2 linked regions of the Sus scrofa genome follow. The protein of the gene in region 2 purifies or fractionates together with the protein of the main gene of each other region. This does not show direct contact. Links are inferred from orthologs where the notes say so. Each region holds a gene or a part of one and is shown on either strand. Other genes may lie near its edges.

Region 1 (4,371 bases), on a different chromosome or scaffold from region 2:
GAGGGAGGGAGGGAAGAAGGAAAAGAAAAAGTCACCTGTAACCTGTTGAAGCGTTAACTGCTACAAAACTGTAATATTAATTAAAAACTATAAAAAGGCTAAATGCTGGTCATAAGACACAGATCTGGTTTCAAATTTATGTTTTGCCATTTGCCAGCTGGGTAATTATTTAACTTTTCTCAGCTTGTTTCCTAACCCCTTAAAAAGAAGTAATATTGGTAATTGTTTCACGGGGTTGTTACAAAATTAGGTAAAATAATGCATGTAAAGCACTTTTTTTTTTTTCTTTTTATGGCCACACCTGCAGCATATGGAAGTTCCTGGGCCAGGGGTTGAACTAAGGCTGCAGCTGCAACCTATACCACAACCACGGCAACACTGGATCTGAGCTGCACGTAGGACCTAGACCACAGTTTGCAACAACACCAGATCGTTAGCCCACTGAGCCAGGCCAGGGATTGAACCTGAATCCTCACAGTGATGATATCAGGTCCTTAACCTGCTGAGCCACAGCAGAAACTCCTATAAAGCTTATATTACCTGGCATACAGTATGTACTCAAATGTCAGTTATTAATGTTATTAATAGTTGAATTCAATTATCCACTTGAGCCTGATGCCCACTTTTCTTGAGGCCCGCACCTGCAGCATATGGAAGATCCTGGGCTAAGGGCTGAACTGGAGCTACAGCTGCAGGCCTACACAACAGCCATAACACTACCAGATCCAAGCTACGTCTGTGACCTACACCAGAGTTCATGGCAACACCAGATCATTAACCCACTGAGCAAGGCCAGGGATCAAACGCACATCATCATGGATACTAGTTCGTTAACCACAGAGCCACAATGGGAACTCCCCTCATGCCTGCTTAATCAACAGATAAACTTTATCAATTCTATCACCAAAGATACCTCTCCTATCCTTTCCTTCCTTCTTTGCATTTTCAGTTCCTACCTGGTGTCCATGATTCCAGTCGCTCCCTTCCAACTCAATGTACATGTTTCTAAAGAATTAAATCCAAGCCCCCTTAGTTTAGCACTTACAGTCCTCCATGTTTGGGCCTCGACTTACCTTTCCAATCCTATTTTCCACTACTTTCTGGAATTCACCATTCTAGCCAAATTAAATCACTCTACTTTTCTATACACACCACACGCTTTCCCACTACTGCACCTTGTTCATTTTATTCTCTTCTTTAACTGCCAAAAGTTCAAATCCTTCCCACCATCTTTCCAAACCTAGCTCAAATGCCCAAACACCTCCCCCGGCCCCTCCCAAATGAAAAAGGTGTCTCTCTCCTGAATATCTATAATTTTATTACACTTCTTCTATAGTACTGATCTCTTTCAACTTTTTATTTTGGTTGTTATGTATGCCACGGATTCCCTGTTAAAAGAACCCATGCCAGTTCCTATACATACTACATGCCTGATACTCAAACAGAAGTAGAATGAACATTTCACAGATAGACATTAAAATGAGATTTGGCCTCAACAAGAAACTTTCAGCCCTGAACGAGAATTTTCTGATCTAATCTGGGCTACGGCTCCCTCACAAAAGGAAATTGGAACACAAAGTACTATACTTTCTAACCAGTGGTCATATTAATTTTTGTTTGAAATTTCTGCAGTTAATAGACCACATATTCTTCTTTCCACTTTCCAAGCATCCAGGCTCAAACGCTTTCCATCAGAAACTTTCCCTAGCTCAAAATTCTACATTATACATTTAAATTTAAAGCAAAGTGATAGATAGAACATAACTGTAATTCAGGGCCAGCTAGTTCTACTTATTAACAGAGGACAACCAAGCTCACAAAAACACAATAAAAAACAAGGATGATGATGATACCATTCTTTCCAAATAGTCGCTGCTGACCTCTTGTTTACAAGGTTCTGAGCTGATTTTCAGGCACAAGAAATAGCTTGTATTTGACTCATTCAACTGCAGTCTCATTCAGACCCTAATGTTGGATGGTGTGTAGTTTTAAGACAAGCAATGACATTCTGAAATCCACCACCAACTCTGCCATGTCTTACTTGCTAGCTGATGGAGACTAAGTCCCTTTGCCTGTCTCATGTTAGTTCAAAAGAGTAACTAAATGGGGAAGGAAAACAAAACCCTCATTGGCTTGAAATCCAAAAATATATGCATATCTTTTGCTACAAAGACAACGTAAGTTGAAATGTTTTCGGTGAAATCTCTTTATTAAAGCAGAATCTCACCCCTTAAAGTCATTGTGTCTGATTTCAAAATCCATTACAGAAAGAACTGGGTTAAAATCACCAAAACATATGCACTCTCCACTTCCCTTAATTGAAAGCTGCTGACGTCCAAGAAGCCAGAAGCTGAGCAGAAAGTAAAGTCTAAACCAGTAAACAACTCCAGACCCAGACCAAAGAGGAAAGAGAGGTGGGTGGAGGGAGGCAGATGACAGGAAAAACTCGGCTGACCACTGCACCACGTCGACTCACTTAGTACTCTGGAGAGGACACATATACACCCTCCCACCCCGGAGTTGTCAGGACTGTAGTCCTGGCCCCAACACCTTTAGGGCAAAACTCTTGAGAAGAAACTCGAGCTTCAGCTGGGGCTAGGGACTCTCAGGGAGCCTGGGCCTGGCAGACTCGAGGATGGCAGCCCGCCGCACCCAGAGCGGAGGGCCCGAGACGGCCTCGGCTGTGGCCTTGGCCGGGCTCCGCGTCCCGGTAGTCTCACCCAGGCCTGTCCCCAGGATGGTCCCCGCCCCCCAGCCCGGTACCCCGGCTCACTGGCTTGGCTGATCCGCTGGATGTTGCCACTGCACGTCTGGATGATGCTGTTGAAGTCCCGGAGCGGGGGCCCCGAGGCCCCCGGGTTCCGGTACATGTCTAGGGGACCGTAGGACATGACGAGGAGCCGAGACCGACTTGCCCTGCACCGCGCTCCTACCGGAAGCAGCCGCCAGACCCGACCCGCAGGCTGACAGGGAAACCGGGAAGAGAAAGGGCTGGGAAGGGGATGAAGCTGCGTGCGCACTAGCCCCGCCCCCTCGCGGCGCGCACGCGTCCGTCCCCGACCCGACCGGCCCCACAATGCGCAGGCGCTGTTGGAACTGGTGCCGAGATGGGTAGCTTGGAGACCTGACGCTCTGGGGCTTGGGGATGCAGGGCGGAGCGATGACATCATACCTTTGGGGCTCGGATTGGAGGATCTGGGGTGGCGGTGTTGTTTATCGCCAGGGCACGGTGACAAGAAGGCAAGAATTTTTCGATTAGCATAAAATTGTACCAGATGATCTCAGCCCTAACGTCCTATTCTGTTCTATTCTGAGACTTCAGGCCCAAATATGGGAGAATTTGATAACCTTGAAGCTCAGATGCGTAACCAAACTCCTGAAATCCCTCACTCTGCTTCCAGCCTCAAAGGCTTTGGTAGGATTTGTGGAGAACTTTTATGGTTTACAAATCGCTCTCATTCTACCACCCCTCTTGTAGTCTCGTAGTCTAAACAATAAAACGATAATAATAATGGTAAGATTTATTGAGCACATATTATGTGTGACCCCTCACTGCAATTCAGTTGTTCTCTCTCTCTTTTTTTTTTTTTTTTTTTTTGCCTTTTTTGCATTTTGAGTGAATGACCTCAATGTTCCCATAAAAGACTGCATTTTGTAAGCGTATGATAAATGGAAATACAGGGGTAGGATTTTGCTTTGGGAGGAGATCAAGATAGACGTGAAGGCGAACTGGCAGTGTTTGTTTCCTGTGTTCTCCACCGCACCTCACACCAAGTCTGCTTTACTATCTCTGGGAAATAGCCAAGGCAGGAAGCTGCTTGCCTGAGTTGGGGGGGACACCCCAAATGGGTGAATGAGCCTGCATTCAGCCTTAGAACTTTTGTAAGCAAGGCTATCTCTATTTTCTGTTAGAGCATTTGTAACAGAGGTTTTTTGTTTTGTTTTGTTTTGTTTTTTTCTTTTTAGAAAAGGACAGATGACATTTGACATTTAGGGGCTCTCATTCTGGTTATTAAAACCCTACCATTTCTTAGAATCCATAGTTTTATGTCATATAGCAAATCATGTAAATTTTACTTTTTTACCTATAAAATCTTCTTGAGAATGTTTTCATTAACATTTGACTCTATTTAAAGTGAAGTTTGGAGTTTCCGTGTGGCTCAGTGGTTAACGAATCCGACTAGGAACCATGAGGTTGCAGGTTCGATCCCTGGCCCCACTCAGTGGGTTAAGGATCTGGTGCTGCCGTGAGCTGTGGCGTAGGTCACAGGGTCTGCTCAGATCCTGCGTTGCTGTGGCTATGGCCGGCAGCTACAGCTCCAATTAGACCCCTAGGCTGGAAACCTCCAAATGCCACTGGTGTGGCCTTAG
Region 2 (4,351 bases):
GTGATGTGGTACATCACAGAAAATCCAGCTCAAAAACTGGTTCGAATGAAAAGGGGGAATTTATTTGTTTCTGTTACTGAAGGGTATTTGGCTTCAGGCATAGCTTTAATTAGGTTTCTATCCTTTTTCCTCTATCAATAATCTCTCTTCTCCTCTGTGTGGCCTTAGTATACAGGCAGGATTTCTTCACGTGGTGATGAAAACGGCTGCTGGGAGCCCAGCACTCCCGTATTTTCCACTGAAAAACTGTAGCACAAAAAGACCTCTCTTTTCCCAGCAGTTTCAGCAAAAGTCTTGAGGCGGATTCTCATTGGCCTCCTTGGGTCACGTACTGTGGCTGAAACTATTACTTTCTCCAGAGGGAATGGCATGTGCTAATTGGCCAAACTGATAACCTGCTAGCCCCCTGGAGAGGAATACAGTGGGAAGTGAGGGGGGTAGTGAACATCGCTCAATCACATGGATCCAGAGAAAGTGGGATTTCTAAGGGAACATCAGGCCCTGTTACTAGAAGGATGTGGGTAGGTGAACCCAGCAGTTATCGTCCCAAGAGTGGTTTTCAATCTCACTGTACATTACAGTCCCTGGGGTCTGGAGGGCAGGGGGTGGGGGTGGGGAGAAACTTTGGAAAACACCTCCAGAAATTGATTTATTCCATCTGAGGTGTCGCCTGGGCCTCAGTATGAGTTTAAGTTCTCCATGAGTAGCTGAGAGAAGGACTGCATTTGGGATATTAAAAGCTAATACAGCCTGATGCTGGGGAATGCCTTGAAGCCTGCAGGTCAAGCTAAAGGTGGGCAGCTCTCAGGGCAGAGTTCTTGACAGTGGAGAAAGGTGGAATCGGTATGGCATAGTCAAGTGGGAGTGGATTGGAGTAGGCAGACAGGAAGCTCTCCTTGCCCCCAATTTGAAGCATATTAGCAACCCCCTGCTGTGTCCCCAAGCTGCCAGCCCTGATGACAACTTTTAAAATTAGGTTTTGAGAAATGTTTCACTCCAAAAAGCCAAAGCATCCACTGTGACACCCTCAATTATAAAATGAAAGGGCTAAGGTCAGCTACCTTGTCAGAGGCCACCTCTCCCCAAGGTCAGAGGTAGGGGACCCTGGAGGGTCCCTGGCATCATTCAGCCTGGTGAGACCCCACTTGACTCCCAGGCCCCCATCAGAGGGAGGTGGAACTGCCATTCGCATCTTTGCTGCGGTGAAATGTTTTCTCCCAGCCAGTCGGAGGAGGCCAATTCTCCTCATCTTGCTAGGGAGGAAAAGTTCTGGCCAATCACAAGAAGCCAACTGGAGACTGCAAAAGTGGGGATGAGATGGCAAAATCTGTTTTTGGAGCTGCGAGAGACACACCTCTCCCTAGCAGAGCTGCCCCAGAAAGCTTGTCGTTAGGCAGCCTCTGGCAGCTGCTCCCCCACCCGGAATGGGTGGGGGTTTCAGAGGCTGCTGGCTGCCTGGTCTCTGTCTCCAGAATTCTACATCTTCAGAGTCTACCCCTTGAACAAAAACACGATGTGGGTTTTTTCCATGAACTTTCATTTTGGGGGGGAAATCAGGAGGGGAGAAAGCTCAGGGAGAGGTGGTGGGGTGCAGCAGGTAGGGTAAGGGACTGGAAATCCAAGCCCCAACACCTCTGTTCCTATCCTGTCTTCCTCGACTTGGGCACATGAGAATCCTTGAACCTCAATTTCCTCATCTGTAAAATGGGTTCCTAGATGTGCCTGAGAATCTTCCAGGCCCTGCAAATTCTCCAGTTATGATAAGGAAGGAAGGGGCCACCAGCCTGCTTTGCTTTGGGGGCAATTGTTGGTTGGGGCTGAGTAACTGAGCTTTTATGACCCCCACCCCATTTTTAAGAGTAAGAGACATCCCCCCTTTTCTCTTGGTCCTTTCCTTCCATCCTGATTACTATCACTGTCACTCTAGGAGCATAAACATTGGGGAGGATGCTCGAGGTGTGTGAGGGGTCGCCAAGCCCCCACACCTCCAAACGATGACTTTTAATTCCAGTTTTACCAAGAGAGATGGTCTGCGCTTCTGCAGATACAGAGACTCGAAGCCGCTTCCGTTTTTGCTCTTCTCTCCCGTCTCTCACCCCCCTCCCTCCGCCTTCCTTCCACTGCTGTTTACTGATCGCCCAAGTCGTGATGACGTGCCAGGCACGATGCCAAGTGAGAGGGCCCCCGAATGCATCAGGGGGTGGATTAGAAAGCTCTGCCCTGGCGGAGCCTCCCGGGGCAGACGTGGAAATAAACAAACAGTGACAGCATCGCGCCCCGAGGGCTCCCGCGGAAATGAGCATGGGCTGTTTGGAAAGCCCACACGACGACCCCCGACCCAGGAGAGGCCCGCCCGGCGCGCCTCGCCCCCGCTGCAGATGGCAGGGGGCGGGGGAGGCCTGGCGGCAGCCCCGCGGGTACCGCAGTGAGTCAGGAGCCCGCCTCCCATCCTGCGCGCACCAGCGAATCCCCGCCGCCCAGCTCAGCCCGGCCTGCGCAGCGCCTCCGCCCACCCCTCCTTGCCTCGCGTCTTCTGCTCGCGGGGGTGGGTGGGGATTGGGGGGAATCTGTCTCCCCGACCTTCCATCGCGGCCTGGAGCCGTGGCCACTGGAGAGAGGCCAAGGGGTGCGAATACCTGCCCTGCAGAAGGGAGGCGATGGCCGAGCTGCAGTGTTCCTTGGCATCTGGAACGTTGCCTGGGAAAAGGAAGGAAACAGAACCGGTGAAGTGACTCAGGATTCTTGGAGTGGCTAGGAGGCACGGGTGCAGAGGGCTGATTCCAGAAGGAGCGGTGGGAGGCAAGAGGCCTAATGGGTCTCTAAATCTCAGAGGGATCCTGCCCCAACCTTAGCTTGATTTTTTTTTTTTTTTTTTTTTTTTTGTAGAAGAGTAGAAATGCACTTAAAAAGTATATCTCTAAAAATACCAAACTGATGTTATTTGGGTGAATTCACACCAAGCAGATGACCCAGAAAAAGGAGTAAGATCCTGATGTCTTCAGCATGCGCAGAATAATCACTCTGCTGGGCTCAGGCCAAATGCCTTAAGCCCATTGGCCTTTCCGGATGACCTTTTGGGAAGGAAGGCTGGTGGCTGGATGGAAATGAAGCACAGCAAACGGGTTCCATTTATATCAGGAACCACCCAAAAGCGGCCATCTTCAAAAGGCCACTCTGAGCTCCAGGGGCTGCAGGGAGGTTACCAGTTCCCTTAGGAGCTTCTGGGGGCTGGGCTCTGTCCTTCCCCCATAGGCTAATGGCAGAGGGATAGCACTGCCCTGGGCCTCTGGGATGAAAGAGCTACCCCAGCCTAGCTGTGCCGCTACCAAGATGGGCTGTGATTTGTTCCACAAAGCCTGTGACTTGGCATCTCAGTGCATAGAGGGCCAGAGGGAAGCCATCTTTGTTTCTCTTGCCTGCTCCACTTTGCTTCCAGATGAGAAGACTGTCCTTCTTTAAAAAGCAGCCAAAGTCATGCTTCTAGAAATTAAGCCAGAGAGTACTGTCACCTGCTAATCCCAAGTCATTACAAAGCCTACAGGCCCTCCAAAATCGGCTCCTGTTACCATGCACCTCCTCCCTTTCCACTTTTCCCCCTCATTCTATCTGTTCCAGCCACCCTGGCCTCTTCCTTTTCCTTGAACACACCAGAGCACATCCCTACCTTTGTGCATGCTGTCCCTTCCACCTGGAACTCTCTTCCCCTAGACATTTATTTCACTCTGATCGAAAGACCACCCTATCCAAAATAGCATCCTGTCCACTGCACCTGTACTGTCTGTCTTCATAAACCTCCTTACTGTTTTCATGTCCTTATTACATGTTTATTTATCTGTTTATCATACATCTCCCCTAGAACATGAGTTCTCTGAGGGCAAGATCTTTGTCTGGTTGGTTATTCTACTAACAGTGCCTGGCACACTGTAGGTGCTCAAATAAATATTTGTGGGAAGAACAAGGTCAAGATTGGCCAAGGAATTTGCTCAGCTTCTCACATTTAGTGAACAGCTAGGAGCTGAGCCCCTTACCTCCTCCTGACCTAGAACTTTTCTAGTACTAGTCTCATGCTCAAGCTGGTATTTTAGAAATGATCTCAATGTGAAATCAGGCTGCACAATGGCTATTGAGTAAGCTGGACACCTTCTCAAGATGCTGTTTTTAAGGTTCCCCCGAAAGCCCAAGTGCCCCATCACTCTGGAATGTAAATATTTATAAAGGAGGTAAGTTCCAATAGATGTTGAGTGATTTATGATGCCGTGCTAACCTTTGGTCTTTCCCGACTTTTCTTCTTTCACCACCTTTGAAGCCTTGGCTGGAAGCCAAGGTTTAAAGCCAGTAGGGCCTTTGTGCT

Evidence for each region.
Region 1: the proteins of SNAP25 (region 2) and STX12 purify together in Homo sapiens (co-immunoprecipitation; 3 studies listed by BioGRID and IntAct, with this or other methods). This does not show direct contact. The link is inferred for Sus scrofa from reciprocal best matches to the Homo sapiens genes SNAP25 and STX12.

The regions. Positions count from the first base shown.
Region 1 is NC_010448.4:84,917,477-84,921,847, reverse strand, and holds the start of STX12 (syntaxin-12), read right to left. Parts: upstream 3,022-4,371; 5' UTR 2,892-3,021; coding exon 2,774-2,891; intron 1-2,773. UniProt on the Homo sapiens protein: SNARE promoting fusion of transport vesicles with target membranes. Together with SNARE STX6, promotes movement of vesicles from endosomes to the cell membrane, and may therefore function in the endocytic recycling pathway.
Region 2 is NC_010459.5:19,094,580-19,098,930, reverse strand, and holds the start of SNAP25 (synaptosomal-associated protein 25), read right to left. Parts: upstream 2,817-4,351; 5' UTR 2,637-2,816; intron 1-2,636.